Linked DNA regions of Canis lupus familiaris. The protein of the gene in region 1 interacts with the protein of each later gene in a pairwise test. Links are inferred from orthologs where the notes say so. Each region holds a gene or a part of one and is shown in the gene's direction. Other genes may lie near its edges.

Region 1 (4,348 bases):
ATACAATTTGAATATTAGAGGTCACTTGATAACCACCCACTTACAAATTCTCTTAAAAACAGAACTGGAAATTTGAAAGAAAGATGAAGTATCTTTAGGTTTCCTAAATCTATAGAAAACATTAAGCAAAGTTCAACTGATGTTTTTATCTTAAGGTATACAGGGACAAAAATAAATATGTCTGAGTCGGAAGGAATTGAGAATTCTAGTCTCCTCACCCTTCCTTGTTTCTCCTTCCTCCTCACAGTCTCTGCTTGAGTTGACAGGGCAGCCTGTTATCTCTGGGCTGTCACTAAAATGACGGTCTTCCCTAGACCTTTAACTCTCATGCACCTCTTACTATGTCTCAAGTCATTTTACTCCATTCAGACTCAATGCCCTCTCCTGGAATGTGAGTTTAACATCTCCTAAATCACTAAATCGTTATGTGGCTTAAATATGTAACCTGACACAGTAACAGTATTCACAAGAGTCAAAAGATGGAAGTCACCCAAGTGTCCATTCACAGATGAGTGGATAAACAAAATGCATATACAAACACTGGAACATTATCCAGCCTTTAAAAGGAAGGAAACCCTGTCACATGCTTGTACAACATGGATGAACCTTGAGGACCTTTTAAGTGAAATAAGTCACAAAACAACAAATACTATATGATTCCACTTACGTTGGGGGCACCTAAAGAAGTCAAATTCGTAGAGACAGAAAATTGAATGTAGCTGCTGGGTGCTGAGGGAACATACTGTTTAACAGGCAACAGAATTTCAGTTTGGCAAGATGAAACAAGTCGTATGAGTGGTGCGGATGGGGATACAATGATGTGAATGCATTTAATGCCACTGAACTATATACTTAAAAATTGTTACAATGGTAAATTTTGTTACATATGTTTTACCATAATTTAAAAAAAAAAAAAAAGAAAACCTCAGAAAATCCCTAGCTCAGTGACAAGTACACCGTTGGTGCCTAATAAATGTCAATTCTCTTCTTACCATTCACTGGTATGACACCTGCCTTGGGATCGTGCTGTACATAAATCCCTCACCAGCTGATGTTAAAAGACTATCAAGCCTTTCCTGAAAAGGACTTGTTTCTGGAAGCAGAGGGTGACACGTAAGGGAGAGCCCCAGGCACGTTGTCGCCATCCCACCCTCCCTAACTCCCTGAGAGCAGCTCCCACTCGTGGGCGTCGCCCAGCACGTAGGTGTGGAGCGAGACGACCAGTGTCCGAGGAGGCAGCGTGACCCCTCCACCGTGGATGCGATATTTTCTTGTTTGACCCCGAGGACCTGGGAGGGGACGCGAAGCAAGGACTTGACGCTGCGGAGCTCGGACTTCCTGCCGCCTGGGGCTCCCGAGCTGCCCCGCCTGCTCCCCCGCCCCTCGCGCCTCCCTCTCCTCCCACTCCCCGCCCCTCGGCCCACCCCCTTCGGACACGCCTCGACGGGAAATCGAAAGTGAAATAGGGAGCCTGCCGCCGGCTGCCGAAAGCCCTGAAAAGGTGAGTGACTCGCCCCGACCCGAGTGCCCCCGCCCTGGCTGGGGGACCTCTCTCCCCTGCCCCATCTAGTCCTCGCCCCTGGGGCCTGCAGACCCGGTTCCCCCAGGGCTAGCCCAGCCCCAGCCCCAGTCCCAGCCCCAGTCCCAGCCCCAGCCCCAGCAGTTCCTCCCGGGCTGGCAGCCTGCCTGGGACGGGGCCCCAAATGTGAACGTGACACCCAAGCCCCCGGGGGCGCTGCCCTAAGCGGGGGGCACCGGGGCAGAAACCTAGCCCAGCCCGGAGTGTAGTCCGGGCACTCCCCTCGACACTTCTCCTCTGGGGGTGAGAGGGGGCAGGACAGTTTCAGACGCTAGAAACCTGTGGGTCTGTGCCCCAGAGGCAATGAAGCCAGCTACCAGGTTCCCAGAAGGGAGAGGAGAGCCCAGGGAGTGCTCAGGCACTGTTCATGTGCGCATATAAACATATACAGGTACCCATATGCACACATATACCTGCAGGTATATATACATACAGACAGATATGTAGAAATATATTCTTATGTATATAATCACAGATATAGAAGTAACTCCTGTGATTATTGTGCAGATAATGAAGATATTTCCAAAGCAGGTAGCACCTTCTCTGGCTTATGGAGTGTACAGAGTACATGGTCCCTGTCATACAGATGAGCTGCTCAGCAGCGGACTGGTGACCTGAGAGGGCAGAGAGTGGACAGGAAAAGCCTGGGACAGAGGATGAAGCAGAGAGGGCCATGATGAAAATAGAGTTATAAACAGCTTTATCTCTGAAGTTCTCAACAACATTCAGTTTCTTTGGGGGACTCAGTTTCCCCTTCTGTCTGACTAGGTAAGTGGATGAGACTAGAGAGGAGAAGCTCTTATTATTCAAGTTAATGTTCTGGTGTTGTTTTCACCCCTTCCACTTCACTGTTCCTTGTGTTTTCCTTTGGATTGTTTTTCTTCTCACACAACCCTTCTCTTCTGCTCATTTCCCTCTCTCCTCTCCCCACCAGGGTACCCCAGGATCTCCACAGTGCTGCTTACTAAGAACATCACCCCTATGGCTGCAGCAATGCCCTTGGCAATGATGTGGGAGGAGGTCACATGCCCTATCTGCCTGGATCCTGTAGTGGAGCCTATGAGCATTGACTGTGGCCACAGCTTCTGCCACAAATGCATCTCTGAGGTGGGGAAAGATGGTGGCGGCGTCTGTCCTGTGTGTCAGCACACCTTCTTGCTCCGAAACCTCCGGCCCAATTGGCCACTGGCTAACGTGGTGGACAACCTTAAACAAATTGGCCAGAATGCCAATGAAGTCACACAGAGGGAATGGTGTCAGGTACATGGAGAGAGACTGCACCTGTTCTGTGAGGAAGATGGGAAGATCCTCTGCTGGGTATGTTCCCAGTCCCAGAACCACCGTAACCACAAAACGGTCCCTGTCGAGGAGGCTGCTCAGGAATACCAGGTAAGGACTTAGCACAGAGGCCTGACCAAGTAGAAGGGAGCTGGGTCCGTGCTTGGGGTTTTGTTCTCCAGAGTGAGGGAGGCAAAGTCACCTGTGGAGTTTCAGGGTTGGGAAAAGGAAGGGGTTTCCCACCTTCCAGGTCTAATTGAAGCAGAGAACTGCAAGCTCAGGACAGCTTTCTCATTCCCCAGGACCAGGGAGTACGCTTGGGAAAACGCTGCAAGGATCACACTTCCTTGTGGCCTTCTGGTTAATTAGGAATGAGGAATGCTCCAACTCCACACCACCACCTCCAACAGCGTGGCTGTGTTTTGAAAGAAACCTCAGGCTCTTGCCAAAGTCTTCCCATCCCCAGAATCTCTATCCCAATCAGACTGTAGTCTTCCCTCTTTCTCTGCACTCAAGTTTTTCAAAGAACCAGCATGTCTTCATGGCGCCTCACCCTACTTCTTGGACTGGTCGGGCGCTAACCTACCTTTCTCTGCAGGAGAAGCTTAAGGTGGCATTAAGGAAACTGAGAAAAGAACAAAAGTTGGCTGAGGAGTTGGAAGTGAATACTGCAATGAAGAGAGCAGCCTGGAAGGCAAGTGTTGTGCTCCAAAGGGAATCTCAGGTCAGAAGCCAGGGCAGAGTCCAGGGCCCCAGACTCAAACCCTAAGCATAGCTATGCCCATCTGAGGAGTGATAATATATCTCACTCACCATGAACCAGCTGTCCTCTAGGTCTCTTGATAGAGGTGAATAAAAAGGAGAGAGCTCAGATCAGATAGCAAAATCAAGAGTCTTAGGAGAAGGTGCCATACCCTTCGGAGAGGTACAAGCCATACCCTAAAGCTCCTGCTCCTTAAGCCTAGTCTTAAAACATGACGGCACCTTTGCCTCCATGTCTGGTCAGTGGTCTCTCAGGAGAGATGCCCAATGGCTAGGCCTGTCAGGAGGTACAGACTTAAGGGAACAATCCAGGTCAGACATAGGCAACTATCTGGTCATGCTGGTTTTTCTGACTGTGTTCAGATCACTGGTCCAAAGTAGGATGGAGAATAAAGCTTGTTCTGTATCTATAAGGGCATGGAGGGAACTCATGGCCAATAGAGCCCAGAAAGGAAGATTTGGGATCAGAGAAGGGTGAGTCAGGCTGTGGTGGCAAAAGGACTCATCCTGTGCCATCGGTGACCTTCCAGTCACTAACAGAAGAGCAGCCAAGATTATCCCCAAAACTCCTTTTCCTCAGGCCTGGGGAACAGTGTTATGAGCCTGTGTTTGGATGGTTGTTGGGGTGGGGACAGGTGTTACTCTCTCAGGAACTCACTAAGATATGAAGACAGATTTGGGCACATCGAGGTGCAGACTGGGTTTTGAAAGAGGCTGTAGAAAGTCGAT
Region 2 (4,463 bases), on another chromosome or scaffold:
ATCCCCTTCCAGCCGTCGCAGCAACTGCAACATTCAGGGACAGGAGAGACATTTAAGCAAACCCTGGAGCTCTAAGGGGTTCCCACTGGAGGTGTGAGACGGGGCTCTGCCTATTCTCCTGCCCCCTGACTTTGGACAAGTCCGTAACCTTTCTGTAAACCTTTCCCTGAGATTCTGTTTACTAAGCTTCTCGGGAACATCCCCTGTGAGCCAGGCACTGTATCAGATTGCGGGGCTCGGGGAGTCAAGTAAGAGCCACGAACTCCTACTGTCAGGAAGCCTGTGGTCTGGGGGAAGAGATGGCACCAAGGACGGATACGCGAGAGTCAGGAACAAAGCCCTAAAACGAGGAGGCAAGTAACGCTGCTCAAAGAAGTGATGATGAGTAGGTGTTCCACCCAGTGGAGAGAGAAAAAAGGCATCTCTTCTTCCTCTTTTTAAAGTTCTTATTTCTTTTTGCCAGAGCACAGGCAGGGAAGCGGACTGGACTCCGGGCCGGGCAGGAAGCCGGAGGCGGGACTCGACCCCAGGACCCTGAGATCGTGTCCTGAGCCCCAGGCCGACCCTAGCCGCCCGAGCCACCGGGCGCCCCCGCAAAGGCAGTTCGGGTTAAGCAGTCAGGGAAGGAAAAGGCAGTGATGGTCCTAGATCGGCGAGGCCTCGCGGGGTGGCGATGTCGGGGTCCGGCGGGGTCCACCGCAGCGACGGCGGGTGCGGGGAAGGCGGGGCCGCAGCGAGTCCCCGGGGCCGCGTGGCCCTCCCCGCACCACCGCCACCGCCTGGCCCCCTGGACAGACCCGGGCCCCAGCGACTCCCAGAGACCGGCTGGAGGCAAGCCCAGCTGGCCAGGTCACCGACTGGGCACAGCGGCCCCGCCAGGGCCCCCGCCAGGGCGGCTGCCCGAAACCTCGGGGTCGTGCCGGAGCATCCTCCTTCCTCGGGGTCTTTAGCCCGCAGCCAGCACTCCGCCTCCGGAACCGAGCCTGCCTTCCCCGGAACGGGGCGGGGGTCCTCGGCTCCTCCAGTTTCCGGAGGGCACCGAGGCAGAGGGGGGCGGCCCAGGAGCTGCAGCGCCCGGGGCCACGCCCCCTCCCGCCCTTTCCGCTCGTGGACTCCTCCCCCGCCCCCTCTTCCGGACCCTCCTCTAGGACCCGCCCGCCTTTTCCGGCCCCGCCCCCGAGGGCCACCCCTCTTCCGGGCGCCCGAGGGCCCGCCCCTTCTTCCGGTCCTTCCCCCTGCGAACCCGCCTCCTCTTCCGTTTTCTCTTCCCCTCCCCCACCAGAAGCCCGTCTTCCGGTCCCTAACTGAGGCTCCACCCCTTCCGCTGTGCCGTCTCCCGCCATCCCCATTGGTGGGAAATCCAAGCCACCCCTCAAGCTGCGGAGAGAAGCGTTCCGGGTTGCCTGTCCCCGGAAGTGACGTTCGAAAGGCCCTCCCCCCGGAAGTGACGAAGGGCGTGCCCTTGACTGGCGGGGAGGGCCGGGCAGTGAGTGCATCCCTCCGCTCGGGCTGCAGGGAGGTAGGAGGCTCGTGGGGGTGGCTCGAGGCGGTGTCGCGGCGGAGACACGCTCCGGGCCTTCTCCTCCGCTGGCCGGCGGCCGAGCGGGCGGAGGCCCCGGGCGGCGGGGGGACCTGCCCCCCGCGGAGCCGGGATCCCCGGTGGCGTCGGACTCAGTCCGTCAGACACGTCCCTTGGTTTTTAGGACCCCACACTCCCTCCTGTTGCCGAGCCCCTTCGTTCCCCTCGAGCTGTTGCGATTCCTCTTCTGATCCTTGGACAACCCCCTTTCCCCTTAATTTCCCGTCAGAAGGCCTCCTAAACGAGTGATAGAGAGTTGCAGACGGCCTTGGGTTCCAGTGTTGACGCTCCTTTAGTAGTTGGGTTGGTTGCGCGCGCAGCCCGGGCTCGTCGCCGGGGTAGGGCCCGGCTGCCCGCGGGTGACCCCGGGGGACGGGCGCGCGGGCGCGGGAGGGCGCGGCTGCCCTTGCCCCAGCAGGGGCTCCACCAGCGGAGCTCCCGCCCTCCCTTCTGATCCAGTCCCGTCCATATCCCGACTGCTTTTTGATTGCCAGCCCAGTGTTCCTGTCCTGGTGTAGGATTGCTTCTGCTTTTTGATTCTGATGCTTCGCTTAACCTCTACTCTCAAAATCTTATATGTCATTTCTTGGCATTTTTGTTCAGGCCCGGAAATCCTGAGGCGCCCCTCTCCCCCCAGGACCACCCAAATAACCTTTCTTTTCCTGGTGAATTGGCTTCCCGAACTTTCTGCCTTTCCCCCTCACAGATGGCTCAGCGACTTCTCCTGAGGAGGTTCCTGGCCTCCGTCATCTCCAGGAAGCCCCCTCAGGGTCGATGGGCACCTCTCACCTGCAGGGCCCTGCCGTGCAGCCCTGGTCACCTGACAGCAACACCCACCCAAGCCCGGTCAATATACACCACCAGAGTCTGCACAACGACCTTCAACATCCAGGATGGACCTGACTTTCAAGACCGAGTTGTCAACAGCGAAACACCAGTGGTTGTGGACTTCCATGCACAGTGAGTCCTGGGGGTCAGCAGAAGAACGTGGTGCTACTTGTTCAGGAATTTGAGTAGGGACACCTGGGTGGCTCAGTGGTTGAGCATCCGCCTTCGGCTCAGGTCGTGATCCTAGGTCCTGGGATGGAGTCTCCCTGTGAGGAGCCTGCTTCTCCCTCTGTCTGTGTCTCTGCTTCTGTCTTTGTCTCTCATGAATAAATAATTAAATCTTAAAAAAAAAAAAAGTGATTTATTGAGTAGCTGTCATGTCTCAGTCCCACGTCTGATGCTTCACGTGCATAGTCTCATTACAAAGACGGGTAAGACCCAGTCCTGGCTCTCAGAGATGGAGTGTAGTCTGATAGGACACAGACCAGTCAACAGTCTTTAGAGCTCACTGTCACTGGAGCAAGCTGAGAAACACTCATGTTCTGTGTCTTGCTGCCCAAATGGCTGAGAGTCCCCATTCAGCTTGGACCAAAGCAAGAAAAATAGGACTAACTATCTCATTTTCTGGCTTTGGGTGTATACCAGTTCCTGACCCTGCGGATGAGTTGATTTTTAACATCTTGCCACCAAAACTGGGAAGGGCTGGCAAAAAGTTATCAGTGGCACCACAGTGGTGCCCAAGCACGCAGGGGATGGGCAGGGTTTTCTTTTCAGTGCTGTATGTAAGTTTGTTGTAGGGGTAGTTCAATGCTTCTAGCCACCTGATTGTTAGCTTGGCCTTTTTCATTTCTGGACTTTGGGTCCCGACTAGCCACCTAGCTACAAAAGAACTTGGACAAACCCCTCAGATTGAGGCATCCTGGTGTAGCCTGGGTTAGACGTTGGGAGGCCTTCTGGGCAAATCTCTGACAGATTGTTTTGCTTTCTTTCCTGTTCTTTCTCTCACTCACCATGTTGCCTTGGGCTGGCCATTGATGTCCTCATGCCTCCCTTTCTTCACTTATAATAGGAGATGAGGTGTTGCAAACTTGTGAGTTCATTAATTGAAATCTCTAAATGTAAAGCGTTTTAAAGGCTGAGACTAAAATAACCATCATGGGCCAGGGGTTCATGGCAGGCAGAGCCTTCTCCCATCGTGGTATAGTGAGCACTCCAGAGAGGACTTCCAAAATGAATGATAAATGGGATTATGCCTCATTTTCTTCTCTGACAAAGTAAGATGTGAGTTTGTTCATTCAGTGCCCGGCACTATCCATACCACCTGTCCTCACAGGGCTCACCACCCAGAGGGGAGCACCTGTGATCGGTGCAGTGCTAACAGCTGACCCAGGGCCTGGGGGAGGACACAGGATAACCCAGTGATGAAAGAAGACATTTGGAACGCAACACCAGCCTCTAACCAGCTCTGGGACCTTGCCATGAGTTCCTTAACTTGTAGGATCCTTCATTTCTTAGGAAGGTGTTTTCCTTTGTGGGGTTGAGGGTTCTGGGCAGTAAAAGGTGAGAAGGTCCCAGCATAGCGACGAGCATGTTGTAGACTCCCCCTGGCACTGGCTTCTCCCTGTAGTTCTGGGTCCATGAGGTTGTCTGAAATAACTCCACAGCCTCATCACTGCTTTGAGAGACATAATCTCATTTATTCAAAAGAGGAAACTGAGACTCTAGAACAGTCAGCTGGTTGGTGAGGAGTCCCTTTTGGAACCCAAACCTTTTAACTTCAACTTTCATATTTTTCTGTGCGGTGGTGTATTTCTCTTACGCGTGCTGAAATAACCTTTATCAGCGTCTTCCAATGAGGACTTGTGTTTTAGAAGCCTGGGACCTTTGAAAATCCCCCTGCTGCAGAGTTCTGGCTTTATCATTGGGCATGTCAACGTTACAGGTTAATATTCAAAGGTTGTAAACAGAGCTGACAAGGACAAAATGCCCCTCAGAAAGATGTGGGTCAAAGGAAGGTTCTAGGGAGACAGAAGATGGATTGCTGAGCACTCTTGTG

The links.
Region 2: the proteins of TRIM21 (region 1) and TXN2 interact in binary tests that used the Homo sapiens proteins (3 or more experiments, as listed by UniProt). The two-hybrid records come from large-scale screens. The link is inferred for Canis lupus familiaris from reciprocal best matches to the Homo sapiens genes TRIM21 and TXN2.

The regions. Positions count from the first base shown.
Region 1 is NC_049242.1:26,906,792-26,911,139, reverse strand, and holds the start of TRIM21 (E3 ubiquitin-protein ligase TRIM21), read left to right. Parts: upstream 1-1,382; 5' UTR 1,383-1,501; intron 1,502-2,513; 5' UTR 2,514-2,560; coding exon 2,561-2,968; intron 2,969-3,455; coding exon 3,456-3,581; intron 3,582-4,348. UniProt on the Homo sapiens protein: E3 ubiquitin-protein ligase whose activity is dependent on E2 enzymes, UBE2D1, UBE2D2, UBE2E1 and UBE2E2.
Region 2 is NC_049231.1:28,946,789-28,951,251, forward strand, and holds the start of TXN2 (thioredoxin, mitochondrial), read left to right. Parts: upstream 1-1,362; 5' UTR 1,363-1,519; intron 1,520-2,285; coding exon 2,286-2,539; intron 2,540-4,463.